4 linked regions of the Alligator mississippiensis genome follow. The protein of the gene in region 2 interacts with the protein of the main gene of each other region in a pairwise test. Links are inferred from orthologs where the notes say so. Each region holds a gene or a part of one and is shown on either strand. Other genes may lie near its edges. The genes, in order: heterogeneous nuclear ribonucleoprotein M, LMO2, IFT43 and TAL2.

What was found.
Region 1: the proteins of LMO2 (region 2) and heterogeneous nuclear ribonucleoprotein M interact in binary tests that used the Homo sapiens proteins (3 or more experiments, as listed by UniProt). The link is inferred for Alligator mississippiensis from reciprocal best matches to the Homo sapiens genes LMO2 and HNRNPM.
Region 3: the proteins of LMO2 (region 2) and IFT43 interact in binary tests that used the Homo sapiens proteins (3 or more experiments, as listed by UniProt). The two-hybrid records come from large-scale screens. The link is inferred for Alligator mississippiensis from reciprocal best matches to the Homo sapiens genes LMO2 and IFT43.
Region 4: the proteins of LMO2 (region 2) and TAL2 interact in a two-hybrid assay, tested with the Homo sapiens proteins (2 studies listed by BioGRID and IntAct). The link is inferred for Alligator mississippiensis from reciprocal best matches to the Homo sapiens genes LMO2 and TAL2.

The regions. Positions count from the first base shown.
Region 1 is NC_081839.1:10,276,276-10,283,928, reverse strand, and holds the start of heterogeneous nuclear ribonucleoprotein M, read right to left. Parts: upstream 3,012-7,653; 5' UTR 2,917-3,011; intron 2,827-2,916; 5' UTR 2,811-2,826; coding exon 2,733-2,810; intron 760-2,732; coding exon 562-759; intron 1-561. Other genes in the region: heterogeneous nuclear ribonucleoprotein M-like, read right to left, coding at 3,772-3,836. UniProt on the Homo sapiens protein: Pre-mRNA binding protein in vivo, binds avidly to poly(G) and poly(U) RNA homopolymers in vitro. Involved in splicing.
Region 2 is NC_081825.1:217,121,800-217,129,063, forward strand, and holds the start of LMO2 (rhombotin-2), read right to left. Parts: upstream 3,001-7,264; 5' UTR 2,803-3,000; coding exon 2,762-2,802; intron 1-2,761. UniProt on the Homo sapiens protein: Acts with TAL1/SCL to regulate red blood cell development. Also acts with LDB1 to maintain erythroid precursors in an immature state.
Region 3 is NC_081825.1:261,780,330-261,787,212, forward strand, and holds the start of IFT43 (intraflagellar transport protein 43 homolog), read left to right. Parts: upstream 1-3,875; 5' UTR 3,876-3,896; coding exon 3,897-3,947; intron 3,948-4,960; coding exon 4,961-5,053; intron 5,054-6,883. UniProt on the Homo sapiens protein: As a component of IFT complex A (IFT-A), a complex required for retrograde ciliary transport and entry into cilia of G protein-coupled receptors (GPCRs), it is involved in ciliogenesis.
Region 4 is NC_081826.1:158,376,218-158,383,652, reverse strand, and holds the start of TAL2 (T-cell acute lymphocytic leukemia protein 2), read right to left. Parts: upstream 3,017-7,435; 5' UTR 1-3,016. Other genes in the region: ribitol-5-phosphate transferase FKTN, read right to left, coding at 5,946-6,159.

The sequences.
Region 1 (7,653 bases), on a different chromosome or scaffold from region 2:
AGTTAGCTTAATAATTATCACTTAACTCAAGGCAGGTATAGTCTGAGGGAAATGGGTGGGGGGTAGAGGGGGAGCAGGAGCAGAAGGTGCCCTAGCAGGAACCAGAAGGCAGCAAGGCAGGCAGGCAGAAGGGAGGGAGGGAGAAATGAGGAGGAAGGGCAAGGAAGACATAGCCTAAGAGGAAAACAGCAGACAGCCTAATGACTTGTCAATTAAGCAATAAGCTGCTCCTTCACCAGTGTTCCCTCCCTCCCAGCACCAGGCTGCATGTGAGCTGTGTTGTCTGGCTGGGCTTGCCACTACCTTCCCCACCCCAGGCAAAGGGCCCTGGGAGCAGCTCCCAGCCTCAGCAGTATCTAAGCTGCTGTGTTATCCATTAACCATTTAACCGATATAATTTGAGGAGGTTAAATGAATATTTTTTTAAACAATATTTACATCCCTAAACTGAAGACAAACAGGGCTTTTTGCAAAGGAGTACTACTCTTTAGTTTCCCAAACTAAGGTATCCTTAATTCAGCTAGAGCCTAAATCTACTGTCAAACAGGAGAGTGTACTTACATTAGCAACAAAGACAGTGCTTCCAAGTCTCCCAGCCTGTAAGGCATGAATAATCTCATTGGGTATGTTGGGATTGTTGAGGATGCTGGGTGGGATATTAATCATTCCAGGGCCACCTGGTCCTGGGCCAATGCCCATCCCACCAGCTGCTGCCATCACCTTCTGCATTGCTCTTCTAGCATGCTCCCCATCAGGATCCTGCAACAGTAAACACGCACCATAAGCTACCATGATGCACTGAACTCCTCAGTTTGACCCTGGAGCCAATGCTGCGTTTTCAGTAACCACATGGAAATTTAAATGCCGAATCAGTACAAGAATCATAATAAACCCTTCTATATTATAAGCTCTTGTGTGTCCAATCTTAACTTCTTATTCCTTTTCCTGTTAACATCAAAACAATCATAGTAATTCAAGAGCCATACTAGTAAAGTTAAAAACAGATTCAAATGAAAGCCGTCTGAAGGAGTACCCCCCCAAAAAGTGATAAATAGCAGTACAACAGTATATTAAAGGGTTGTTTGTGGCAGGAGGGAAAGTCTAATCAGATGCTCTTGGTTCCTAATCTTGAAAAGCTAGAAGATTGTTGTTTTCTTGTCTTTCTAAGTTCCTGATGTCCAGTGATTCTCACTTTAATTTCCTTTTAAAAATACATTGGGGTGTTGAACACTTAACCTAGGACACAGGACTTCCCCCACAACTACAAAGAAGGAAAAAAACAAAACAAAACAAAACAAAACCCAAAGTCCATACCAATGTGACCACAGAATAAAATTCATTCCTGACCCCCAATAAGGCAACAGGTCTGAAAAGAGGGGCAAGGCCTCTAACAAGAAACCTCTGGGTTTAATTCCAGTACCAGCACTGGTACATCCCAATCAAGGCTCCAGCCTTGGCTACAACCAACAACCAAAGCTACTGAGGAAGGTGGGGGAAGTGGGGAAACCCTGACACCTGTAGCAACAGAAGGGGAAAAAAAATCCTCTCCAACTCATGCAGCACCCAGGAAAACCCAGAAGCATGGGAGGAAAAAAGCTGACAACAGACTGCAGAGCAGAATGAAAGGTGAAGACGGCAAGCATGACTTCACGCATACCTAACTGGACAGCCAGAATTGCTCTTTCTATATCCAACCCATATACATATTCTAGCTCCTAGACTTTCAACTGTTCTTTACAGCACACTGCAGACATACTTACTTGTAGATCACCTTTGACAATGCTCGTCCAATCTCTTGAAAACAAACCTCCAATGACCAAGATTTCACAACTTCCCGAGGCAGTCTATTCCACTGCAGCACTGTTCCAACAGTGAAGCAGTTTTTCCTGATATCCAATCTAAGCCTACTCTGCTGCATCTTTAAGCTATCTGTCTGCCTTCTTTCATTGCTGCAGAGGATGGGATGCATTCTCCCTCTTCTTTATCACAGCCAATGAGATAGCCATCATGCCCCCTCTCAAGCATGTTTTCTGCAAGCTGAACATGCCTCTCCCCATGTGGCAAACCTTCCAAGCTCTTTATCATTATTCTCATTGCCTCTGGACCTCTTCTAAACTTCTTCACATCCCTTTAAAAACATAAGCGCCCAAAACTGCAAAATAGTCTAGATGAGGCCTAGCCCCTGCTGAGTGAAGAGGTACTATCAGCTCCCGTATGTTTTGCACTGAATGCTCTGTACTGATGCAGCCCAAATGTGCAGCTGTCACTGCAGAATTATAGTCTGTGAACCACCAAGACTCTTACATCCTTTTCTATAGTGCTGCCATCCAGCCATGTGTCACCCATTTTGTTTTTGATCATTCTCAATATGTAGCACCTTACAATTGTCAGCAAACATCATCCTGTTGTCTCTAGCTGAGCTTTCACATTTATCAAGATCCTTCTGAACTGGGCTCTTGTCCTCCAAGGTGTTCTCAATGCTTCCCAGTTTGTCTGAAAATCTGCTTAAAAAGCAGTCTGTCTAGTCCAGCAGCCAAAGCTATAATAAAACCTGCTGAACTGCACCAGGCCCAAGACAGACTTACATTTAGAAGTTTTGGATGCTTATACTTAAAAGGTTTTGGATCCAAAATTTATTGGGGGGGGGGGGGAGGGGGCTTGCTTTAGTTAGCCCAATCTCTTCATGTTAAAAACAAAAATACTACAAGGAAAAAAAAAGTGTAGTGCCTTACTTCTTTCACTTTCAGTGGTCTTCCACCAAGACTATGCTTGTTCAAAACCTCTGCAGCTTTTCTCATGCTCTCTTCCATCTTGAATTCAACAACACTGTGGGGAGACAAAACAGCTAAGAATGTTGCTTGTAGTTTGAAGTTTCCCCATCCCCTGCAAAAAACAAAATTGATAAATAAAACTTACGCGCATCCCTTGATGTGGTGATTTCACAGGTGAGTAACAAGGAGGGTAGGAGGGAAGAGAGAAAAGAAAGTAAGTAAAAAGAAAAAACACAAAGTGAAAAAAATTAACTTAAAAAAAAAAAGTATTCATTAAAACTACTTTGCAATTTAATCCCAATAAGAAAAGCAAGTACAAAACACAAGCCTTACCCAATATAAAACTTCATTACCTGGATACCACATTAACCCTTAATACATTATTAGGGTTATATTGTAGTTTCTGAAGTTGTAATAAGCAGAACTAAGTCCAGGTTCTCCAAGAAAACACCACACATTTTATATTTCGTGTTCTCAATAGTACATCAAAATCCTTGCCATGTTCTCATCCTAAAAATCATATCCCTTTCGTACAATTAAAAAGTTAGCTCACCCTAAATTTTTCTAAAACATTATTTCATTTGACTGGAAGTCATTTGTTACCTACTAAGAATAAGTACATTTAGCTTTAAAGATATGACTTCTTTTCTGGCAAAGGAAGCATAATGTTTACAGAACCTGCTTTTGCACACTGATCTTACAAATTCAGCAAACCACTACAGTGACATTTTCCAAGACACAAGTTTTACGTTAATATACCATATCACGAGGGTCCATGCGTAATTCACACAGCCAACACCGACTGAGCACAGTGGAAGACAATGCTGACACTGTCTACAAATCCCGTCCCACCTCCTCCCCATCCCAAAAAGAGGCTTTGGGCTGTACCTACGTATTATAGCCACTATACATCCACACTCTCTACCTTCCTGATTTCATTCGGTTCCACGCCACCATACAGTTACATTTGTCATGTAGTAAATCCACAGAAGAAATTCTCTCAAACACTTACCCTTGACTTTCCTTCAGCGTCCATTAAGAGCTCCACGTATGTTACCTCACCAACTACAAATCAGATTCCAGACGACACATATACCAAGGGAGAAAAGCCAAGAAAACAATGGGAATTTAGAACAATCAACAACCTTGTATGGAGCCTCTGCCTTATAAGAAAGCCCAGAAACACTCCATATTCTCTAAACCACCGAACTGGAGAATTACAGATGTGCAGTAAAGTTAAATATTTTATGTCCTTGATTTTCCTCCACTGCAAGACCATCTATTTCCACAATATCAGTTTCCTCAGTCTTTAAAGACCCACTCATTACCATGGGAAAGTCTGTTTCCGTCTAGATATAACAGAAGCATACGCTTCACTCTGGATTTTTCAAGGACAGGAGGGAATTTTTAAAAACAAAACTGGACCCAATTATCTCCAATAATCAGGTATTCAACAGTAATTTTAGTTTGCTTAGTATACCTTCCTCCACTAAGTAAAAGTAGAACTTGAAGCCCATTATTTATTTCAACACAGTCTCCATTAACATTACTATAATCTTCATGCCCAAGACAAGAAACTAAAATAAAGTTTTTAAAATCTGTAGCAAAAAGTCAAAATTTGTAGGAAAAATAAATCTGCATTTTTCCACACAATTAGGACTCCCACCTCATGAATACTGCAACTAGTTTCTATGCCTTCAGAATACAGCTACCTAGCTGCTGAGTTAGTAATAAATGGCATGCAGAAATATAGCTGAGAAACCTATTTGGATTTATTTTTCTGGCTTGTCACACTGACTATATCCAAATACTTTGAAGTTTCCACCCCTCTTAAAGACAACATAAGAGGACTTCCAGCTATGAAAGGGGCAAGCACAGTCTTTTAGTAAATCTTAATACACAAAAAGGAGTTTTTCTGTTTACATCTGTTTACAGATGTGAAAAACAAACAAAAAATGAAACAGCGCTTTACTTTAAGATCGGTGTGCCGCCAGGCCGAGCCCAGCGCATGCCCAGAAGTCACACGGCTCACCCAACATTGGCATAGACTGCACACTTCAGCGGTGCTTTCTGGCACCTTTATCCAATAGCTGATTCAAATCGGCTTTATATAGAAGTGCCAAAAAGCCCCAGAGTGAGGATTCCATAGATGCTGGGGAGCTGGGTCAAACTAACATGCTTTCTCTTCTAGTAAAGTGATGTTTTTGGGTTCCCCCTCCCCCCCCCATGTCTGTCAGCAGCTTCCTTCCTACTTCTCTTCACAGGGCTAGAGGAGAAAGATTTATTTCATCACCCATGTTAAGAGACTAATGTGTTATAGCATATAAGTAGTATTTACTTAGCTACCTGAAGGGTTTGGAAATTCCTTTCCAGAAGCAGTCAGAAATAGAAAACTTTGTAGTTTCTGAAGCTAGACATCACCATATCCACTCTCCCATTTGGATCCATCCATAGTGGAAAGTGAAAGGAAATCAGCAGATATAGCATAACAAATGAGTATTTGAGCTATGCCTCTAGAGACAGTTCCAAGAAGAATTTTACCCTGATCTAAGCTACAGATTTTTTTTTTTTTACTGACATCCTGACATGCAACTGAAAAAACAAAGGCTTTGTATGTAGGCAGCATATAGCCCACTTTGAAAAGCCCTGCCAAAGTATCAATGTCAGATAGTCAACATTATCAAAATTCTGAATGCCATTCATTTAAACAGCAGGCATCATAATCCAACCACATTGTTTTAGATCTAATTTGCATTCTTGCTAATTTAAGAATTGCCAGATTAGCTACAAACCCCATTTCAAAAAAGCCAAAAAACGAGATTCACAAGCTTAGAAATGGATGACTTTTTGCTGATCAATGTGCAATTAGTCAATATGAAAGGAATTACTCTGCACACCAAATTAAGTCAGCTTCAACTGCTGCTACACAAGATCACAACCCTTCCAAAACAGGTTTTGCCAGGGTCACAGGCTCAATTGTAAGAAAGCTACATTTAAAAGCCGATTTTAAGAGCATCTTTTAATTAACTTAATGGCCTTTTAAATGAAGTTCTGATCTTTCAACCACAAGATTCAGTGGAGTCTGCTGTAGCATTAAATTTAATAGCCCTCTGAGGACCTTATAATTGGTACCAATTTTGATCAGGGCTCTCAATATTAAAGTTTTAAACAAGCTATATCTTAAAATTACTCTCTTTAAAAATCACTTTCTTTAAGAATAGTCAATGGGCTTCCTAGGAGTATCCAGATTTCAGAACAGGAATTCAATGGTATGCTAGCCCAGCATCCAAAAAAGCAATTCTAGAACAGAAATAAACACGTCCTAAATGCAGAATGCATTTGTAGTTGCATGGTATGGTTCCAGGTAGACAGAAGTCAAAGAACTCCAGTTCTTAGACTATCTTACCCTGACAGGGTCTCATGAGGTCTTTTGAGATCTACCTAGATCCCAAAATGTACTATGTTTTCCTCACCTGGACTGGGTATTAGAAGATCACGCAAGCATCAGGAATACAAAGTTATTGGTTAGCAAGCAACAGGCAAGGACAGCCTGCAAAAGTGGACAGAGAAGCAAGTCAGTCAACAAAGTACTCCAATGCCAGATACTGGGATACCTCTCCTCACTTCAAGAATCACAACAGTGCTTTCCTTTATAGGAATGTGTAAGCAGAAAAGGGCAGAGACACCACCCTTTTGTACAGTGATTGTCTGATGAGACTATTTCAGCTTGTCACTAAACAATTAATGTGCACAGAATTTAGTTCCAAAGATTAAAATTAATTGATTTACATGGCAAGAAAACATTGCATACACAAAGTGTCTTGTCTTGCTTTGACAATAGTTGGGAAAGGAGTTGTGGAGACAATACAAGTTTAGGAATAATTTGTTTTCAGAAAAACAAAGCCAATTTAAACTGCCAGTTATTTTGTCGCTTCCCACAGAGAAGTACCATAGTTGTTTTGCACCTTATTTCTAAATGCACTTAGGAAAGTTCAGTTTGCTGGCATTTCAGGCAAAAAAAACCAAGCACCCTGTTGGTCCATAGCATTTACTGAAAATATTATAGTGTTTTTACACTGCTCTGAAATTGTAAAAACACTAAACTTTTAAACAAAGCAACTCCTGCTGGTGTGTGCAACTATATAGCTGTTACCATGCATTTCTGTAGGCACTCTCTCCCCATAGATTGACATAAGAATTTTCCATCTCCAGGAGCAGTGAGCTATAAATTAGATCCACATCATATTTTGACTCTGGGAGTTACAGAGTAGTCTTTGAAGACCAGTTCTTAGAGAATTAAATTGCTTCGGCACAGAGAAAGTGCAGAGTGAGTTGTGACCAGATTTTCATTTATTAACTATGCTTTTCTACACAGGGACCTATTCCTGAGTGTAAAGAACCCCTGGATTAAAAATAAAAAAGTGAGGTGCAAGAGGGGAGAAGGGGAAAATTAAAGGTATTTTATCTTTCTCCAAAATATTGATGCAATTAACCCTTTTGTTAAAGAAAAGAGTCTAGATTCTATAACATATGAACTTGTACTCAAGATTAGAAAAGAAGGGCCATTGCAGTGTCATCATTAGCCTAGTTTTGTCTGTTCTTGTTCAGTTTTAAGTAAATGGCCAAAATTCTGCAGGCCAGAGGAAGTACCTCCCAGCCAAACAATTCCAATATAGTATGTATTCAGATCCAACACTGGTTCTGTTGTTGGAATACTTTCACTGTTTACTACTCATGCACAAAAGGCCCACCTCAAAAGTTTAAAGCACTGCTAGTAATCCAGAGCAGCTGGAGGCTGTCCTAATTTGTGATGCTTAAAAGGCAATGGCACCACTTTTAGCTGTGGCTGCTGCAAGAGTATCTCAAATAACCACTAAACACA
Region 2 (7,264 bases):
GTACTACATGGACTTTAGACCACCATAGTTCTATGAATTTCAAGGAGTTATGGCTGATTTACACACCGGGGAAAGAAAATCAGCCACCCACCTCCTCCCCATTCTTTTTTGTAGTACTATATTAAAGGGCACTTTTGCACAATTCCAAAGTAACATTTTATTCCTATCCTATCATTTGTAACAAGCACTAAAATAAAGAGCAGATGCACTAATACAAGAGGGCTAAAGCTATACTTTTTTTGCAAATATGTTTACTTAAGAAAGTCTCAGTGTTGCCTTTTTGCAAGTTCTAGCAATACTATGAGCAAAAATTACAAGACTAGACTGTGGACTCAATCCAGCAAGGAGCAGAGCATGCTGGCCCCACTCCCACCAAGCATTTAGGGCCACATCCAAAGCTCAGTAAAGCCAATGGAATGATTCCATTGGATCAGAACTTTAAGCACACACTTAACTTTAAGCATGTGACTTGTGCCATCCATTTACTCAAGTAGTTTGCTGGATTGGGGTCAGACAGTGCCCAACGCCTTGCAGAAATTAGCCCTAAATTCTTAGGTACATCATTCAGTTATTGGTATAGCCAACGGTCTGTTGACAATTTGCTGGCGGCCTGTACCCTGCCAAACCTGGGGGGGGGGGAGGAAACAGAGCATAACTATACTGAGAGAAGTCAGCACAACTACTCTGAGTGCAGTCAGCACTTCCCGCAGGCTGCAGATACTAACATTTTTCGATCCCCTCGAGTTATATTATGCAGGACTTCATCAGACTTTATTTACTGGGAAAATAGCTTTCAAGTAAAAAGGACTTTCTTCAGGGTCTGAAATATGTACTGTGCTCCCTGACTTCCCAACAAGGCCTGATCCTGCTGTTTTTATGCAAGCAGAACTCCCAGAGCAGTCAGGATTTGGTGCCGATAAAGAATCTGTCTGCCTGCAAGCACTTCTATTTTTCACTGTCACAGTGCATGCTGTTCTGTCCTCTTACTGTCTCATGACTACCAGCCCCCACCTTCCCCTCTCTCCCCACAGCCCACTACACGTGGCATTGCTAGCAGAGTCATAGGGAGTTGCTACAAGCAGAGGATCAGGCCCTAGATTTTCAGAGCATACGCTCTGTTTCTCTGGTCCATTCAGTGCAACCGACACTGCATATAGAACTACAAAGGAATTTTATGCCGACTTGAAAACATCATGTTCTAAAGAACACAGAACACAGCATTTGTCTAAAGCAAATCCAATGGACTTATACTGTAGCAGTTCCTCTACCATAAATGTATCTCTCTTTGTAAGATTTGTGTGCCCTATGATATTTTATATTATTCTTGTCCCTTTTCTTGTCAGTTCAGGATCTACGACTGAGTTATTTGAAACCCTATTTTGGCTACTAGCATCCTAAATTCTGAAATAGCCTAGTAGAAGTTTATTTGGAATTGGATTTCAGGGGGAGATTTTTTTTTATGAATTTGACTGTCACCGCCTGTAATAATTCACCAGAACACCAACTAAATAAAAAAAAAATGTTTCAATTTTGTAGCTGAAATTCAGGTAGGACAGAGGGGGGAAACTACCACAGAGGTTACATTATAATTCCTTAAAAAGCAGAATATGAGGAAAAACTAGCTAACTACCTTAGCATCCCTGTGAGCAATGCATGAGAGGAGGGCTTCAAAAGATGATATTCTTAAATGCTTTGCAGGAAACAAATCCCAGATTAATGAAGCCTTTTATAGGAGGGAGGGAAACAATGATTTAAGCTTTACTTTGGACACTAGAATTGTTGAAGTTTTGGTTTTTATTCTGTGCTGTCACGATGCCAAGGAGGCACAGACCAAGTCTGAGGCACTGCTGCAATGGAGATGCGCAGCCCTGGAATTGAGTGCCATGACACCACATGGTTGGGCTGAATTAACACGCTTCTCACAAGCGTGGGTCTGCGTGTGCTTGGGTCTGAAGGGATGCCTGCAGGAAATACACTGGAAGAGCCAGCTCAGAAGGCTCCTGTCAGATCCTGAATGTAACCACCCTCTTTCCACAAACCTAGTCAAAAAGAAAGACAAGGCTCCCTTTAGACTTCCCCCTACCTACAATTCTTTGCTCTTCTCAAGATCCCTGGTCCATTTTGGCATCTCCATCCTTAGAGGTTTTGCAGACCCAGGCAGACAGAGCCTCCGCTGGAATGATCTAGCTGGGGACAGCCCTGCTTTGAGGGGGGGGGGGGGATGGACTAGATGTCCTCCCTGAGCTCCTTTCCAACCCTCTTTTCAGCCACCCCCCAGCCAGGCAGTTAATACCATCTCTCGAAAGTTTCAAACTGCCTCTGGCCTGATGAAAATGTGGAAGTTGAGCACCCATCAGATAACAGCTCTGACCTTTCAGTCTAGTCAGCTGGGGAGGGGGGGCAGATCAAACATGGGGCAGACTGCAACACTCCTCAAGCTTTGGGGAAGTCTGGCTGGGGCTTCGCTGGATCTCCAGGAGAGAAGGGAAAGAGATGGGGAGGGATGGCTGGTGGCTCCCCCCCTCCCAAAGCCCGTGTGCTGGGATGAAGCCAGGACCTGGCTTCGGCTCCAAATGGAGAAGCTGGGCTGCACGCCGGTCCCCACCCGCCATCCTCGCACGCCAGAGCCCTGCGCGCTGTCAGGCAGCCGGGGGAGGCAAAGGCAGCCGGGCTCTCTCACCTCTCCCTCCGGAGCTCGCCAGGTCCCGGACAGCACCGGCACCCCGGGAAAGAAAAGGGGTGAGGGGGAGCTGGCACTTACTCGGAGGGGTCGAGGCTTTTCCTCTCGATGGCCGAGGACATTGGCAGGCTGGGCGGCGGTGGGATGCGCCCCCACAAAGGCAAGGCGGTGTGCTCCGGTGCCTGGTCGCCCGCGGAGTTTCCCCTCCGCCCCCCAAGGGCACGGGCGGGATTTCCTCCTGCCGCACCACAGACGCGCACACAAAGCGGGCTGGGCTGGGCTGGGCTGGGCTGGGCTGGGCCGGGGCGTCCGCGGGGCTGACCCTCCGGAGCCGGCTACCCTCCCATCTCCGCGCCCAGCTGTCACTGCCGCGCCCCCCGCCCGGGCAGCTCTGGGCACGCCGGGCCGAGCGGGCTCTCTGCAGAGGCGGCGCCCAGCCCCAGCATCATGAGGGCGAGCGAGCGCAGCCCCGAGCCCCCGCTTTCATTTCCTCTTCCCCCGGCACGACTCCGATACAATGGAAGGAAATCACGCTCCGACACACAGCTGCCCGGCCCGGCTCGGCTCCCCCTGGCCCGCGGGCGGGGGCGGCCGCGCACGCAGCAGCATCCCGCGGGGCCGCCGGCTTAAAGGGCCAGGCGGGCTCTGCCTGAGCCAGGGCTGGGACCGCAGCGGGGCGGGGGGTGCTCCGCAACGGAGGGCAACACTTCTGGGAAATGCCCCTCAGGGCTGGTTTGCTTTTAAAGCGCCCCCTACTACGTTACTGGCCAAAGGCACTTAGGTGCCCTCTCCATCCACCCCCCTTTGCTCAAGGCTTCGAGATCAGGGCATGAAGCACCCACTATTATTTCACCGAAATGCCCTCTGCATCCAACCCCTTTGCCCCAGGCTTCGAGATCAGGGCATAAAGCACCCCCTACTATGTTACTGGCACAGCCAAAGGCATTAAGTGTCTTCCTCATACAAACCCCTTTGCCCAAGGCCTTGAGATCAGGGAATGAAGCATCCCCTACTATTTTACTGAAATGCTCTCTTCACCCAATCCCTTTGCCCAAGGCTTTGAGATCAAGGCATAAAGCACCCCCTACAATGTTACTGGCACAGCCAAAGGCATCAAAATGCCCTCTTCATCCAACACCTTTGCCCAAGGCTTTCAGATCAGGGCATAAAACACCCCCTACTTTGGCACAGCCAAAGACACTTAAGTGCCCTCCCCATCCAACCCCCTTTGCTCAGGGCTTTGAGATGAGGGCATAAAGCACACACTACAGCAGAACCAAGCCTACCCTGATCTGTGTCATCCGTGCCTGTGTCTCTCCTCTGTGCCTCATATAGTCACTGGTGTCTGCACAATTGTCCTGCTTAGTAGCAATATAAGAAATTTATATCTTGCCGGTGTTTGCCACTAATGAGCTATAAAAGCTCTGGCATGGAAAGGCTTGATGTGAAATGAATCATGCCTAAGCTAGAAATGGGGAAGACCCTTCGGAACCTGCCACCTCTCTCCTGCCTCTTGTCCCTCTTCACCCCAACTCCCTAGCAAGGCAGGATGGTTCTCTCCAGCCTGTTCTGGTGCCAAGTGATTTATGCTATTGAAATTAAACCTATTATTGCAATTACAGCCCTTTTTTTTTGTCCTGTGAATGAAGCATGAGGTGTTGGCTGTTGCTGGGGGCAAGGTCCTGGAGTAGGTGAACTGTCTGCTCCAGTAATTCCTATAAATACAGTGGAAAGCACTAGTGACTCCAAGGAATACCTCATTTATCTATTATTCCCATTTCAGAAATTTCATCTAAAGTCTATTTTGTGACTTTTTTCTAATCTTTTCTCCACCCCCTGACCCAGTTCTTTGGCAACCAGGGGAATAAGAACCTGAAACACATTAAAGGGCTAAGTTCAAAGTCCAGTGATGTCAAGGGAAACACTCCTGCTGAATTCAAGGGGCTTGGACCAGGCTTTATCAAATCTTTAGAGCGCTGGTTTTCAACCTGTGGTCCACAGACCCCTGGTGGTCCACAGGCTATGTCCAAGGGGTCCATAAAAAATAATTATGATCAATCAAAAGTATGTGAACACCCACACTTACAATTCAAAGCACCTCCATTCAAAATTTCCAAAGGGGTCTGCACCTCTGTTTGCAAGTTTTTTTAAGGGTCTGCAAATGAAAAAAAGTTGAAAACCACAGCTTTAGAGCCATCATTGATCATTAGGAAATGCCACCCTGTTTCCTTAAATAGCCTGTCTCTAATACACTTTAAACTCTTACAGTGTGATAACCACTCTGCTAATCAAATATTTTTGGTCAAAGAAAAATAGCTTTATAGGCAGGATTGAATTATATTCTGAATACTTAATGTCACATATATTGACTTTATGATCAGGAGTAAAAAATAAACCTTTCTGAGAGACAGAATAATTAAACTATTAAAAGCCAGAATAATTCAGCTGCCTGAACTTGATGGCAGCTTTATGGATTAGAAACAAAGTTTAAAGGGGGATTAAGAATATATATAAGGACTGCAATTAAAAAAAAAATCATGGTTAAAATAAAAGGACCAAGGATTGTGGGGAAAAAATTAACTTTTTACAATAAATGGAAGGGGCCAGATTCAGCCATCAGTTAATTTTGTGCAATAACTGTTTCCATAATTAAATGCCAGACTCCAGAGAATTGCACAGGTATAAAAGCAGAAAAGCAGAATTTGGCCTAGTGTATCTTATTATTTTTATATAATATAATGCACTTGAACCTGGTTGAATTTGAAACTCTAAATCTGAAAACAGATCATACAGATTCACAGTTCCATACTCAACACAAAGTATGTGTAGAGTAGGATTTTTCCAAGGGGTTTTACTCCCAAGGTGGGCCAATGATCAAAGTGTTTGTTCTAAAAGTCTTTTTAATAATAAAAAAAAATGTGTTTCTTATTTCAAAAAACAAGGAAATGCCAATATAAAGGAAGGACCTATTGGATACAGTCCAGCCACAGTCTAAACCTAACAATGGGTGAAAACCTTCAAACAAAATATGTAGGGTTGAATCCTGCAAGGTGCAGAAACTTCTCACTGGACATCATTGACCTCAAATGGAGCATCTCTGCCCTGGTCTGGACGTAGATGTCAAGCAGAGAAAACTCCTTCAAGTCAGTGAGACACTTTGGGCAGGAACCTATTTCACTGTATGCCCTCAAATGGCACTTACCCAGCTGTGTAACAACAGTTTGTGACACTTGATGCTTACACACAGGATGACCAAGCACCCACATGGCTACTGAGCATACTCTGTAGGTTATATTCTGGTTGTGCAGCTATGTAGCACCATACGTGTATACCTGGGTGAGCAAAAACCCTAAAACTGTAGGCAGATAAAAACTGGTGGCAAGTAGGTATTTGAAGAAGGGAGAATGGGTAACCTCCCATGTTTTAGCCCAATAGACTAGGGGTTATGGAACTCCCCCAAAAAGTGGTAGATCTAGGTTGCAGGGCTTCCTCACTCAGACGGAGGTTGAGTCTATACCTTCTGTTTCCAACAGTGCTCTAAGCACCAGGTTGCAGGTTAGGTATTATGCACATTGCTCTCCTTAAAGCTGAGCCACTGCACCTTGCATTTATCACTTGGCAAAGTGGATGGATGGAGAACAGTGGAAAAGTTTGTGTCCCACTGGGCACAAAGTGCCAAAGTAGAATCTAGGGACTTCTCTTTTCCAGGGAATCAGGCATGTCACTGAACCATATAGCCTCCAGCTTGTTTTCTTCCTCCTGGCCCTACATAGCTCTTTATTTCTTGGCTGCCCAGGGAAGAAGAGGCAGAAGAGAGAATTGTATAATGTCTAACCCATGGCCAGGTGGTAGACCACTTTGCTAATAACCAAGAGATGGAGGGAGGGGACTATAACCTGTAACCCCTGTTTCCTTGATAAGAGCCTCAATGATTTGCTTATTATGCTAAAACCTGGTGGAGACCCTCTTCCAACATCTAACAGCCATTAGTTATTGGCTTTTTCCCAGATATAAATTGAGGATTTACATGAATATGATGCCTGGCCAGGGCACAACCTACTAAGAATACTTAGCATCTTTGTGAACACTTATACGTCTAGGCTACATGTAGAAGAGGACCGCAAACTATGCATAAGGGTCAAAAACTGCAGTTACATGGCAAGGTAAATGCTATTTGGGCACATAAATGAAATAGGACTATGCCCCTCATGTTCTTGAAGTTAAGCTCACTGAAATGCTTTTTCTGGATTTAACTAATAGGAACCTCTACCACAAATGAAAGACTGAAGAAAGTGGGAAGCAGCTGGTTAATGGTGAATATACCGGAGGAAGCTTTTTACATGTTTTGTCATTGTGCTGTCTGCCAGGTACAGGTCCTGGTCAGGCTTTCACATCATGGACAAATTGTCCAAAGGTGACATAATCAGTTCGTTAATTGGAGGGTATGTAAAAGTGCTGGCAGTGCCACATGAATCATATAGATACTACCTACATACAGATCTTTAGAATAGTGGGGCAATGACCAGGAGAAGAAGCTGTCTTATTCTCCTTCTTTTCCATGGAAGTAAGATGCCAGCAGATGAG
Region 3 (6,883 bases), about 45 Mb from region 2:
CAGCAGCTCATCTGCTGAGAGGGTTGAAGGAGCTCCAGACTGCTGAAATGCCAGTGACAGTAGGTCACTCTCCTTCTCCTTCTGGATGGTCCTTTAGGCTAGTGGTTGGTAACATTTCTGCAGTAGGGGGCCACTTTAGCAGAGCTTGACTGCTCAGGGGCTGCTTCCAACCCAGTCTGTGTTGCCGAAGCCAGAATATTCACTCCCTTTGCACTTATGCCAATTCTCCTTGCTGCCCAGCTGCTGCACAGGTAAAGTCTTCCACTGCTAAAATCCCTCGGCTCTGTAGCCCAGATAAAATAGCTCTGCAGGCTGGATCTGGCTCGTGGGTTTTAGGTTGCCAACATGTGTTCTAGTATAATCCAAGTGAAGAACAGCCCCTGGTGGCTCAGAGAAGCAACTGCTGGACAGTCACACAGCACTGAGGCATCAGTGCCCAGCTAAACTGTGGTGAAACGTGGAAGTGTTGTTCAATACATGAATGAAGTGTCTGACACTTGGTAGCCCTGACTGCCAAATCTAAGTGGTGCTGAGAGCTTGAGGGCCTGGGGGATGTACTGCCTGCCTGGAGCTCAAATTCAGGATGTCACAGAGAGACTACCAAAGCTCATCCATCCCTATCCCTTCCTGCTTGTCCATGTAGGAACCAACAGTACTGTCAGGAATTACAATGAGCAGATCAGAGGTGACTCTGAGGCGCTTGGCAGGAGGATTAAGGAGCTTGGAGCACAAATGGTGTTTTCATCAATTTTTTTTCTGTGGAAGGCAAGAATTCAGGGAGAAATCATTGTATCCTGGAAGTGCCTGAGACAGTGGTGTCAATGTGAAGACTTAGGCTTCTTCAAAAATGGGTCGATGTTCTTGGGAAGAGGACTGCTATCAAGAGATGGGATCCAGCTGATGAGAATGGAGAAGAGTATCTTTAGGCATTATCCGACCAACCTGGTAAGGATGGCTTTAAACTAGGTTCCATGGAGAATGGTGATCAAAACCCTCTAGCAACAGGGCACACAATTCAGAGGGGAAAGGACTCAAAGAAGCAACTTAACTCTGGGAAAGGGCCAGAGATCTACAGGATTGCAACAACTGGTGCAAAAGGGAAGCGAGTAGGTCAAAATGCAAAATACATCCAATGCATGTGTACAGTTGTGAGAAGTATGGTTAATAAACAAGATGAGCTGGAAGCTGAAGCCGGTGAAAAGAACTATGATCTGATTGGCATCACAAAGACCTGGTTTTACCAAGATGAGTCTACAGTGTGATGCAGCCATACAAAAGGCAAATGCAGTTTTGGGATGCATCATTAGGTGCAAGACATGTGAGGTGATAGTGCCTCTCTACTTGGCACTGGTTAGACCTCATCTGGAGTACTGCATGCAGTTCTGGGTTCCAGATTTTAAAAAGGACATGGAGAAGTTAGAGAGGATCTAGAGGCAGGCAACAAAGATGATAAAGGACTTGGAAAGCAAGTTGTATGAGGAAAAGCAGAAGCAGCTAAGCATGTTCAGCTTGCAGAAAAGGTGCTTAAGAGCAAATATTTGAAGGGCTGCCACAAAGAAGTGGGAAAGAATCTTTTTCCTCTTGTTCCAGAGAGGAGGATGTGGGGTCAATGGCTTGAAATTGCAGCAAAGTAAATTTAGATTGGATATCTGGAAAAACATCTTCACTGTTAGAATAGTGAGGCAGTGGAATAGGCTGCCTAGGGAAGTTGTGAACTCTCCAGCACTGGAGATGTTCAAGATGTTGGACAGTCATTGGTTAAGGATGATCTAAGAATAGCTATACTTATTTTCTACTATGAGTATTTCCCATTCTTCTGGGATTTTTTGGTTGACCTTGTCTACCTCTACCCCTCTTTCTGCTATATGTGTCAGGGTGCTGTTAAGCCTTCCTCAGAGACATTGGGTGTTGATTACAGCCAAAGCTGGAGATTTTGACTGAGGTATGCCAGTGCTCCTACTGGGACCAAAGCTGGAAGTTCCTGGCTACTAGGCACCAAAGCTGGAGGGTCAGAGCAATTGCCATGTTTGGGGTCAGGAAGGAATTTTACCCCATGGTCAGTTTGATATGGACTGCAGGGTTTTTGCCTTTGTCTATAGCAGGAAGCCTGGCCCTCTGTCCTATATCTCTTGGGTATATATTGACATTTCATTGGAGCAGGACATTGGCTGCTGTGGTTCCCCTGCTTTACCTGTGGCAGGTTAGGGTGTTAGGTCTGTGTTGATGGTAGTCTTATGTAGAGTTCAGATTATGGGTTGTATAGGATGGTTTGGAATGATCCTTCTTCAGGCAGGGAGTTGGATTAGATGACCTCTGGAGGCCTCTTCCAGCCCAACTTCTCTATGATTCTATCTGAAAACTTGTCTAACTTTATCCCAGCTATACAGTTGATCCAATAAAGGATCTCACCCCAAAAAATCCTTGCCTCTCGCATAAATATTTGTAGACCTCTGGAGCCCAAACTGCAGAAACCACCAGAATGACATTTCTCGTTTGCATCATTGTCTTGAGTTTTGTGTGGTAACAAAAACGAATTGGCCCATGTACACATCAGCAGTCTGTTAAACCACTTTACATATAAACTAAATGCAGAAGAAAGACCAAGTGAACCTGGTCACTGGCTGCTTCTAGAACTTTGCTTTTATGCCAATAATTAATGGTGCACACATAAAGAGGGGCATAGATATGCTTTAGACAATCACAGGAGCAATAATAGTTCATTAGAGTCTGATTTAGTGCTATGATTTGGATAGCTGTGGTGAGTGTGGGGGTGACGGGGAATGGTCTGTAGTGGGGATTAGATGAGCCATGTCTGAGCAGTTCAGAGAGAACCAAAGCAATGTGACAGTCATGCTCTGTTCCACCCTCCATACACACTGTCTTCTCCTCAAGCGTATCTTGTTAGGTACATTTAAAGTTCCTTACCATGACCCCATACTTAACATGCGGTACTGACCCTTAAAAGGAAGCTGCAACAAACCAGCTTCACATTTAATTCTGTGCTTATCCTCACAGACATCAGCACCAGAACCTTGTCCTTAGGACTGGAAGTGCTTGTCATGTGAACCCTTTCATCCTTAGCACACCTCCCTAAAATCAGCTGCCATTGCAGACTAATCAAGTACTTCAGAGAGGGATCACTGTCACTGACAATGTCCAGCCGGTTTGAAAACCAGATCTGATCTCACAGAATAGCTGGAATCTATCCAGTCCTCCCCTAGTGGTGCTGCCCACACACTGGTTTTATTGGTCATCCTTGAAGTCCACCCTTGGTAAACAGCAGCCGGGCACATGGCAGCGAATCAGCAGCACACAGCAATACTACACTACAGTTAGTACTAACTACACTGTATAGGCACGCCCATACTGCGCGGTTATTTTCAGTTAGTGCGCTGTAACCTAACTTACTGCGGAGTAAATGTGCACGTGTAGGCGCAACCCCTGAGAGTGACTTGGGTTTTGCATACTCTGCGCCAATGAGCTGCCTCCAAAATGATTGCACAGTTTGAACACTTTCACTGGGATTGATCGGGCATGGTACACAGTTTGCTGTTATCCCGCAAATAGGACCATTCTCTGCACGTGGCAACAGGGCGGGACGTGCGTGGCGTGGCGGGGCGGGGGCGGGGAGGGCCGGGCCGGGCCCAGCCGCCTTCGCTGCGCTGCGCTGCGCTGCGCTCCTAGCGGGGCGGATCCGGGCAACTCGAACCTCACCTTGACCCACGGCTCCCCCTCGTTCCAGTGCAGCTTCCCCTTTATGTGCGCCCGCTCCGCCGCTGCCCTCCGAGCTCCCTGCCCGCCGCCCGAGCCCCTTTAAGGTGGGGAGGGGGCGGCTCAGTTGCTAGGGACGCGGAGGGGCGGGGTCTTTCCCGGAAGTGGGCGGGGCCTGGCGCGGCATGGAGGCCGAGTTGGAGCTGGGCGAGGGTGCGCGACGGGGGGGTTCTGCGGTGAGATCGGACGGATCCATTTCCACTCCTGTGGGGGGGCGGCGCTGGCCCCTCCTGCTTGGCTTTGGCACGCGCAGGAGCGGCGTCCCGTGGCCGCGGCGGGGCCGCCTGGGTTTGCCCAGGGCGGGCTACGGGCTGGGCTGGGTGCGGGCCTCGCTGCCTTCCGCAGGTCCCTGTAGCCCTGCTTCTGCCGCTTGTGCCTCTCACTCCCGCCACTGGGACGTGGAGGAGGAGCTGCCCCAGCCCCGACTCTTGTTTTGAATTGAACCCGCATCCCGGGAGCAAGGTGAAGCCTCCTCCGCCTGGCCCTGTCCTTTGGGCCAAGCGTGGGTTCCAGCAGGGACTTGATTTGGCAATGTTGCTCCCCTGGTATCTCTGTGCCAGCGCTTGTAGCCAGGCCTGTGGTTCTGTTTGAGCTGAGGATGTTCCCTGGAGGAGGCTGGGCAGGTGGCCCTGGTAACTTGGCCCGAGGAGCAGCAGCTCTTTGCCTTTGATCACCACGTTTTATTGCATTTCTATTGCCGTGGTGGCCACAGACCCACATCAGTGCCAGGGCTTCATTGCATGGAGAGCTGCAGCCTGGGCATTGAATCACTGGCAGGCTAAGGTGACACGTGGAATATGGGGCAAGGCGGGGGGTGGATATGATTAAGTGGTACAATTTTACAGTCCTGTTCAACACAGGCTCGAGTGTCAGCTCCCCTCGTGTGTGCACCTATTAACTGGCTATGCCTTTTTATGGACATTGTTGCAGAGTTAGATTTTTGAGTAGTGGCTTGAAGAAGGTTAGTGGTTTTGTGACTTGGCTCCAGGAGTGCGAGCCAGGCATATGGTGTGATGTGGAAAGTGGCTGTGTGGGCGGTAGACAAAGGGGCACCTGCTGCTGGTATTCTTGGTCTGTTTGGGCATCACTGCACTGGGTAAACATTGTAGCGGGGAAGCTTGTTTGTGTTTCCATGTTGGCAGTGCCCTCAGGATGCCATTGTCAGTAACTGTGCTCTGTGCCCTTATAGGTGGCAAAGATGGGTCGACGAGCTCGCCAGGATTCCTTTCCAGATGAAAATCATCTCAGCAGGAAGAATTCCTCTACAGCTTCAATAGGCGAGGTGGGTGCCCAGGGGCTGGACCACGTGTCTGCAGTATAGGCTGCAACTAAAACCTGATGCTATCCCCATTAGAAAGTTCTTCATATCTTGTAGGATCTTGTCTTGGCCCCTGTGCTGTGAGATGTGCTCTTACAGCTAGAGTCCATAGCACCATTTTTTCTTACTGAAAGTGCTTTCCAGTGTCTCAGTGCTGTGCTGGCCTCTTCAAAATGGAGTATTGTACAGGGGATTAGATATGAGGCCATGATTTTCTGAGAGAGAGATGCCTGCATGGGAGTTCAGAACAGGATGGTATGGGGGACCCAGGACCTGTTGTGGGGAAAAGAGGGGTGAATGCAGCTGTTGCTTTGAGTGCTTTTTCCCCAGTTTTGGATTCTCTCCTTTGTACACTTACTTCGTGCTTGCAAGATCAGATTGTCTTAGCTACCCGTGTCCAGGGGGCTGTGTCTGTATCCTAGATGCTGTTGCATGCTCCCCAGTGTTCAGACTCTTCAGCACTCCCAGGCACAGCCACCTGTTAGCTCCTTTTTACCCTCAATCATAGCAAGACAGAAGTCTTGGGAGCATCTACTCTTTCTCTACTCACTGTACATGTTAGAACCATAGTTTTTTATAATTGCCTGCTGGTTTAAAAAAAAAAAAAGAGAGAAAAAAGCATTTTTTCCTTGGATAAGCTTTCATTAGGTTAGACCCTATAAAGGGTCTATAAGAGGAACTAGTTTCATGACAGAAATTAAATCAGCAGGATTTGAGAACTATCCTTGTGATGCTTTGATGCTTGTTAATGATAGACATCTTCCCCACATCCCAGAGCAAAGTTCTGTCCATTGCTTCCTTCAGGCTCATTCAGAGTGAAGGGAAGCTGGCCTGGAGTTCCTTAACTTTTTGAAAGAATGATAGTTTCCTCAGCTACCAGCAGGGAGGTTATGCCAGGGCCTCATCCCTTTTTGGTCTGTCTTTTCGTTAGTACCCCGATGAGCTGAGATTTCACCCTGTGTTCCAGTTTTCATTTATCTGACAGGGGCAGAACAGAGCACTGCTCCAGAAAAGAGCCATGTCCCTGGTTGCTGTCCCTGGCACTTTGCATACAGACAGTAATACAAATCACTAGACTTGTGACTTGTCTTGAATCACTTGTTTAATGGCTGTAAAGGCATTATTTAAAGGCCCTTTTAGGTGCTTGATACTGCCCTCCAAGACTGTGTGTGCAATGTCCTTTAAAGTCAAGACACTGCTCTACCCTTGGTACTAGCTGTGATGCAGATGTTTTGGTAACTAGACTCTCTGTGCCAGATGCCTCTCTACTCGGGACCCCAGCACTTTCCACCATGATACTGACTGCTTCTGTGGTACCTAGATCATATGTGGTACCAAGTAACTTATTAGTCAGCTTGGTAGCACAGTAAATTCTCCTCAAGAGATTTTAGTGGATGATATCTAAATTGCCAGGTTAAAGAGGTATCTTTGGTATGGACTTTAATGGTATCCTTAGACGGGTCACACCTAATGGAACAACACCATCTTTGAAGAAAGTATAGTCTTTTCTGCTGAGCGAAGTAGAGGTTCATTTCACATCTTCCCCTCACTGGGAGCTCACAAGGAGTAGATTTGACATTCTACAGAGGAGTCTACAAAAGGTTTGTGGAAAGAGACATAATGGTCTGTCTCCAGCATGTGTCCCTTATTAAGTACTCTCTGTTTCCACTTATGACCATATTGGGCAAATTGATTTCGTAGTTTCATAGTTGATAGTTGGAAGGGACCTGAGGAAATCATCTAGTCTGACCCCCTGCCATGGCAGGAAAGAGTACTGGGGTCAAATGACCCTGG
Region 4 (7,435 bases), on a different chromosome or scaffold from region 2:
CAAGCTATAAAGGGAAGGAGCTCTGAGTACAGGGAGGCTAAAGGAGACTGCCTGGCTGAGGAGAGACAACCTGCAACCTAGATACCTACAGTCAGTAAGTAGGGCCTGGTACATGAGACAGCCTGGTGGTTCAGGCCAGGAGTGAATGTTTATAGATTCATAGATGTTTGGGTCAGAAGGGGCCTTAGCAGATCATAGAGTCCAACCTCCTGCCCAGGGCAGGAAAGAGGGCTGGGGTCAGATGACTCCAGCCAGGTGCATGTCCAGCCTCCTCTTAAAGACCCCCAAGGCAGGGGAGAGCACCACCTCCCTTGGAAGCCCATTTCAGATTCTGGCAACCCTTGCCATAAGTTCTTCCTGATGTCTAACCTGAATCTGCTCTGTCAGTTTGTGGCTGTTGTTCCTAGTTACTCCAAGGGGTGCCCTGGTAAACAGGGCATCTCCTATTCCTTGCTGTCCATCCGCCACCCCCCCGCTGGATTTGCAGGCAGCCACAAGATCACCTCTCAGCCTTCTCTTGCATAGGCCCCGAGATCCAAGGCCGTCGCTCTCTCCTTGTAGGGTTTTGCCTGCAGGCCCCTAACCATGCGAGTGGCCCTCCTCTGAACCCTCTCAAGGTTATCCACATCCCTCTTGAAGGAAAGGAGGGGCAGGCAGGGACAGACTGTAAGGGGTGTTTCTTGGAGGTGCCATTAGTGCCCTAGGGGCATGCAATTGCCTTGAGTCCTGTTGTGGCAGGCTCAAGGCATAGCTAGAGTGCCTAGAGCGTTGGGGCCACAGGGCCCAGAACCCTGATGAGGCAGAACATGGGGCTGGGACCCAGAAGCCAGGTTGAGAACAAAGGGCCTTGGCTAAGGTACCAACCAGGAAGCCTGAAGTCTCAATAAAGGAATGAAGGCCTGAGGTGGCCTGGTGACTTAGGGACAAGTGTCACATCAGATTACTGACTCAAAACACCTGTGAGGCAAGGGGTGTGGTATAGGGACGGACGGAGCAATGCAATAAGCTCTTAAAGGCAAGCAAAGTTGAGAGAATCAATCACTGGATAAGAGAGAGAGCACCTTAAGTTTGCCAGTCTCTGAGGGCAGCCTCCCTTTCATAAAGTTTCCATCAAGACGTGGCAGGAAAGAACGCAAGGTGAGACCTTAAAAGAGTGTAGAGAGATAATCTGTTAGGAGTTAGGGGACCTGTAGGGGGCATGATAATGGTCCTCAGGCATCTAACCTGCTACAGTAGGAAACAACCTGCAGAAAGCCATGACAAGCAATTGCTTTAAAGCAATTCTAGTGGTAAAAAAAAAAGTGATTCACCAGGTTATGCATGCCCATCTCCAATACTTCTTCTGGAAAAAAAGACCACGTGCTCAACAGTGCCTCTTTAAACCATGTTAAAAATAAAACTGTGAGCAGACAGAAGTGTTCAGGAAGCAAATATTATCAACCATAATCCTTGAGTTATTGGAAAATGTGGCTTGCAGGACACAAGCAATTAAGTTGGGTCAGACTGGCTTTTGTTTGCCTGAAGCAATAGTGGAGTAATGTATGGCATAACAAGGTATGAATAAAGCTATAATGATCTCCAGCATGAAAGGGGTAACCACATACTAAGAGGATAAAGCACAAGAAAATGTTTTTGGTTTCAGAGCATAACAACTCACTGGCTGGCTGATACAACCTGAATTATCCTCATAGGAACAATGCCTGTTTAGAAGAAGTTGTAATATGGAGTTTCTCAAATGTGGGCCTGCAGAAATTTTGCAAAATTGATGCAGCCTCTCCCCCCAAGTTTAAATCTGCCCTGGTGTTCAGTACAAGCTCATTACAACAAACCCTGTTGGACTGAGAGAAAACTTCTTTAAAAGAAGGTGTTTGCTAAAATAGGATTAGTTAAATCTGCTGCACCATAATTAAAAACCCAAAAAAGTCAGTTTCTGCTTTTGGGATTGTTAGTCAGGGGGTTGTGATAAACAGGGTTTGTCATCATTACCTCATTTGCTTGCAGTAAAACCTCATTTTCTTGCTGCTTTATAATGTCTTGCTCTGCTTTAGCTCTTTCATCATAATAAATTAAAAGCTAAGATTCCTGGAATGCAAAGCAGTAAGTTAACAAATGAAGAAAGCAAGCCAGATACCTTCTAGCGTAGGGACGTCAAAGATATGGCCTGCAGGCTGGACCAGGCAATGAAGCCCTATAAACTGTCCCTCAGTGGTGCCTGAAGGTCTCGAGTAAGCCCACAGATGCAGCATGCAGGGTGTGCTGGATGGCTGTGTGTGCCACATGCAGCAGTGGCTCCATGCTGGATCCACCACCGCATGTGGCACCTACTCCAGGTACACTGCATGCCAATACCCCCTCTGGCCACTCTGGGACACATGATGGATCTGGATTGCAGGACCAGTCTGTGGACCAGACCAACCCAAAACCACTCATCCAGCCTATAGGGTGGCAAATGAGTTTACCAGCCCTGTTCTAGAGGTAGGACAAACCTGTAGGCCAGGGGTCAGCAACATTTTAGGATAGAGTGCAAAAACACCTGCAAGCTCGGCTTGTAAGAAGTTGGTGTGCCAGGAGTGGATGGCAGGGGAGCTGTGAGGGGCCCAATCCTTGTTGTGGCAGCGCAGCCCTGGCCTCTTCCCTGGCGTCCACCCCCAAGGTGCACATGCCAAGCAAAGTGCCTTCATGTGCCACACTCTGACACCCGTGCCCAGGGTTGCCTACCCCTGCTGTAGACATTGCTACTGGGATGCCAAATATTAGGAATTTCTTATTGTTGCTATTGCCCTTTTGTATTTTCAGATGATCGTGGAAAGTCTGCAGAGAAAGGGATGGTGGGAAATAAAAATCTGATTTCACCAAGAGGCAGACCTTGTAAATAGATGAATGAAAATCCTGAGTCAAAAAGCTTAGCAACAGTTTAAACAGGAGAAAGCTTAGCTGTCCAAGTAAGACTGCAACAAAGATTTAACCTTTTTTCCACATTGGTGTGACAACAAAGATACAAATGGTTTCCAACAAGTGAAGTGAAAAACTAACCTAATACCACCTCCACCCCCATGTCATGTTCATACAGTCAAATTTCAAACTTTGAAATCTTTGACATTTGAGCAGCTATCACTGTTTTCAGAGTTTATTAATAAAAACTTAAGGTAAAACACAGTCAATAAACAATAGAAAACAAAAAATCAAAACCATTTTTTTCCATATTATTTCACAGTAAATAACAGTACTGAAAAATACTGTCCCAAAGTCAGGGGTCAGCAACCTTTTAGCAGTGGTGAACCAAATTAATGGCACTAAGGTGGGCCTGTGACCTGGCCACTACTGCAATCGCAGCTTCAGGAGCCAGAGCAATCTTTGTGGGCCAAATCTGGTCCACGGCCCTAGGGTTGCTGACCCCTGCCTTAGATAACAGAGCACAAAGGGTAACTCAGAATGTTGACATGTTAACTAAACTCTTAATTAGTTAATTGGTGTTACAAAATACAATCTGTATCTTCTGAAGAGAAAGTATTTTAACATGTACAATAAATTAAATAGATACCATAAAGTCAGACATTTAAACACTCTGTTTCGCTTGAAGCATGTGCATTTTTTTGTTATTTCCGTTACAGTCATAAACTTGACAAACTGCAAACTGTCTATCCTGATAGTACCTTATCTTTTCCCTTCTGTGACATTTAAAAAAAAAAAAAAAAAAAAAAAGTATAAAGAGCTACTGTACCATTTTCAATTACCAAACTGCATGACAACATAGAGCTCTATATAACATCATAAGAAAATTGGCCTTCAGCCATTTATAACAGAAAACAACGCCAAAAAAAAAAAAAAATCTACCTGAGAAACAAAACTCTTCCCTTCAGACAATGCTTCACACCTCACCAAGTAAACACATCAGCAGAATTTTACCTCTTCCCATACCTAATTTAGCAAAATCCCTGTGGTTACCGTAGTGTTTAAAGTACTCCAGGTAATTAAGGATGTGACAATTTTTAAAGTATTTGCCAAATGCTGAATAATTTAGCTTAGCATTCAGTGGCAGGAGCATTCAGGAACTGGGAAGGTTGGCAGGAAATAAGTGTACAGTGCGCTCTTGGGTATAAATCCCAGGGAAGCCCCAGAGTGCACTCTGAATGGTGTAGCAGTAAAACAGCCACATAGCAGCTGCTATTTTAGCTCTTCAAAACTGTGTTAACTTGAACACATACACCTGCAAAACTGGATGGATAGATAACAATTAAATACACACCTAAGATTTGTCCTATCTAACCAGCTGCTGACAGAGAAGCAGTGACTTGGATACAGTCATAATGCTCTAGAAAGGAAACACTGTCTTCAGACTTGTATATAAATATATGAAGGATGCTTAACACCAAATGAAAGCACCCAAGTGCCCCAGGGTTTGTGCCAGTACACTCGGCAGTCATACCATTAGTAACGCCCCCAGCTCTTGTCTTGTCCTCCGACAGGGACTAAAACAATTTAAAGTAGGGTAACTTTGCCAACTCCACTGAGAGCACTTTTGACTCATTTCTCCCTAGATGCATTCAAGCAGTTTCTAACCGAACCCAATTATTCACCAACAGCTTCCTCTCAAAGTACAAATGAAGAAGTTTAATGCACTGATCAAAAGTGCAATAAACAACATAGGATACATCCCTGTGTAAAATTTAGTTCAGTGTTAACCCAGTAGGAGACTTTTGATTACACTGTTGTAAATCAAGATGGCAGCAGTAGTATACAGATTATTAGCTTGTATTTACATTTAAAAACTAGAGTAGTGCTACTTAGACATTTCAACACCCCACTTCTTTCTATCCAAAAAGAAAACAAGGATGGTTACAAAAAATAATTTGCAAATCCCAGGTTGAAAACCATGATTAAAACTTCAAAGAATGGAATAAGTGACTGCCTTTCATATGAAGCATTTACCTGCTGCATATGGCTTCACATTATAATTAAACTGTGGATAATATTCCCCAGCACACTTCCACAAAGTAGTTAACAGAAAACCTCTCTTTTGTTACCAGGCTTCCAAACCCAGATTTCCTTGGGACATAATACAAGGAGGGCCAAATGTCCTCCAATGTGCAAAATGCTCTTGAGGCTTCCCCAACTTTTTATTTAGGACTACCTATGCAACCCCAACATAGATCATTTATGCTGTTTCACAATGCAGTCACATGTGCTCTGAGTAACTGAACAATATGCCAGCAACCTGAGGCTCACCTGACTGCTACAGCTCGTAGGAGTGCTTCACATCAGTTGATCAAATTTTTTTTTCTATATCACTTTAATATGGATACTTTAAGCCAAAGGTGGCCAACCTGTGGCACGAGAGCCACAAGCAGCAAGGGCAGCCTGTGTGTATGGCATGTGGCAGACTGGGGAGAGGGCAGGCAGCACAGTGGCAGAAACTGCACAGAGCAGAAAAAAGAGCAGCAGATCATGCAAGGGATAGGGATGTGAGTGGCATCTGGGGATGGTGCAGGGCTAATCTGTGGCACTCCTTCCAAAAAGGTTGGCTACCACTGCTCTAGGCAAACCAAATCCCCCCTTTCCGCAAGGGTCAACCTCTGTGACTTCCATTCTCCTATAGCTAGGGAAGTAACAATCCCAAGGTCAGAGGCCAAACTGAATTAAGTCAAGGCATCTGGCCATGGCTCAAGTTTTAACTTTTTTTGCCATAACTCTATTTCAATTCTATCATTGCCCTTCTACCTCTTTCTCCCAGTTGTCTGCTCAACTGCAACATACAACCTTCATTCTCTAGCTGTCTGGGGGAATGCCTGATGTAGATGTATAGAGTAGTACGTGCAGTATCTGTTACGTGAGATAAAATTAAACATCTCCTTTGAAAATGGATGAAAATTGTTCTTAAAAATTTGGAGTAAGGGGTACTGGATAGGTCCAATGGCACCAAACACATTCTAATAACATCCAGGTGATCAGTAGACTTGAATGACATCATCCCATTCATCAACAGGCCACATTCCATTGTACTGTACATTGGGTGGAGAGCTTTTCCAGTCCCATGTCTTCACAGGTTCCTTCCAGTCCTTGCCATAGTTGGCTTCAATATACTGCAGGGTTTCGCAGGGCACACGTACCTTGAGTTCTACAAACTCAGTCCAACACAGTGTAAACTTCGGAAACAGGTACCTATGTCAGAGTAAAAGACCACAACCATTAACAGAAGGCTAGAATGCAGGCATAACATTCAATAAGGACACCTAGTCAGTCACTACAGCATTTCACTCATATTAATGATTACCAATCATTGTAAAGCTTGAGTATTACTATGTCTATGTGCTTAGTGCACTGCACTGATTGCACCTCTGTAGATAAGCGGTCTTTAAAAATACACAAAGGACGCTAAATGAGCAGTAGCTCATTACTCCTGCGCAGTAGGAATGAGCTACTGCACAGTCAGTGCCACCAAAAAGCTGTTCAGGGATGCTACTGCGCAGTAACGTCAGTTACTACGCAATCATTTAGTACTTGTGTCTCATGTACATGTGGCCAAAAAAAGCAAACCTGTTGTGGTGCAAGAAGCAATGGCAATTGCAAGGGCTTTATAGAGGCCCTTTCCCTTTCTCACACCATTACCAGAATGAGACAATCTAGCAATCCCCAGGTGATAACAGAGTGCATAGGACACAAATGAAGGTTCTCAGATCCTAAGAACATAGGTCTTATGTACACTACGCTGATTTTCCCACTGCAGGAAAGCCAGATCCATTTTCTCAGCTATGCTGGCAAGGTATGAAGAGGACCATGGATAAATGGGGAGTAAAAGGAACAGTGGCCTCCACCCAACAGCCTCTAGTAGAAGGCTTTAATTCTGGTATTTCCTAATGCTTTAGTGCACAATACTTTAACATTGTTTTTCAGGTTGTATGGAACAGTTCGTTTTCCATAAGAGTTAATGGAAGGCAATGAGCCTGCTAACAAAATCTGAGGTGGCAATACAAAGGAGGCCGTTACAAAACTTTGTCACTTTGGTTAAGTGTAATAATGGTGGCTAGAGGGCTTATGAAAGCAAAATAATAATATGATGTAGAAGTGCACCAATACATTGGTATAGAGAAATGAGTGGATGAAATGCTTAAAAAAAAGGCCAAAAGTTTCTACCTTTCCTCAAACTGATTAAGCAGTGTCATCCATTTCTACACTGACACTTGTGTTTAAATAAAGTGCCAGGTCATACAGCAGCTGCTCGATATTAAGGTGCCATTTCCTCCCCCCCACACTTCTGATTCTTGCTTTGCTCACTCAGACAGATTAAATAATTGATTCTTTCAAACCACCCTGACATCTCACATTAGCAGACCCAGTGTAAATCTGCAACAACTCCACTGAGTTCAGTGGGTTACACTGGTCCAAGACTTCCATTTGATCAGAATAAGGCTCCACAGGTGAAAATGAAGCAGTGTCA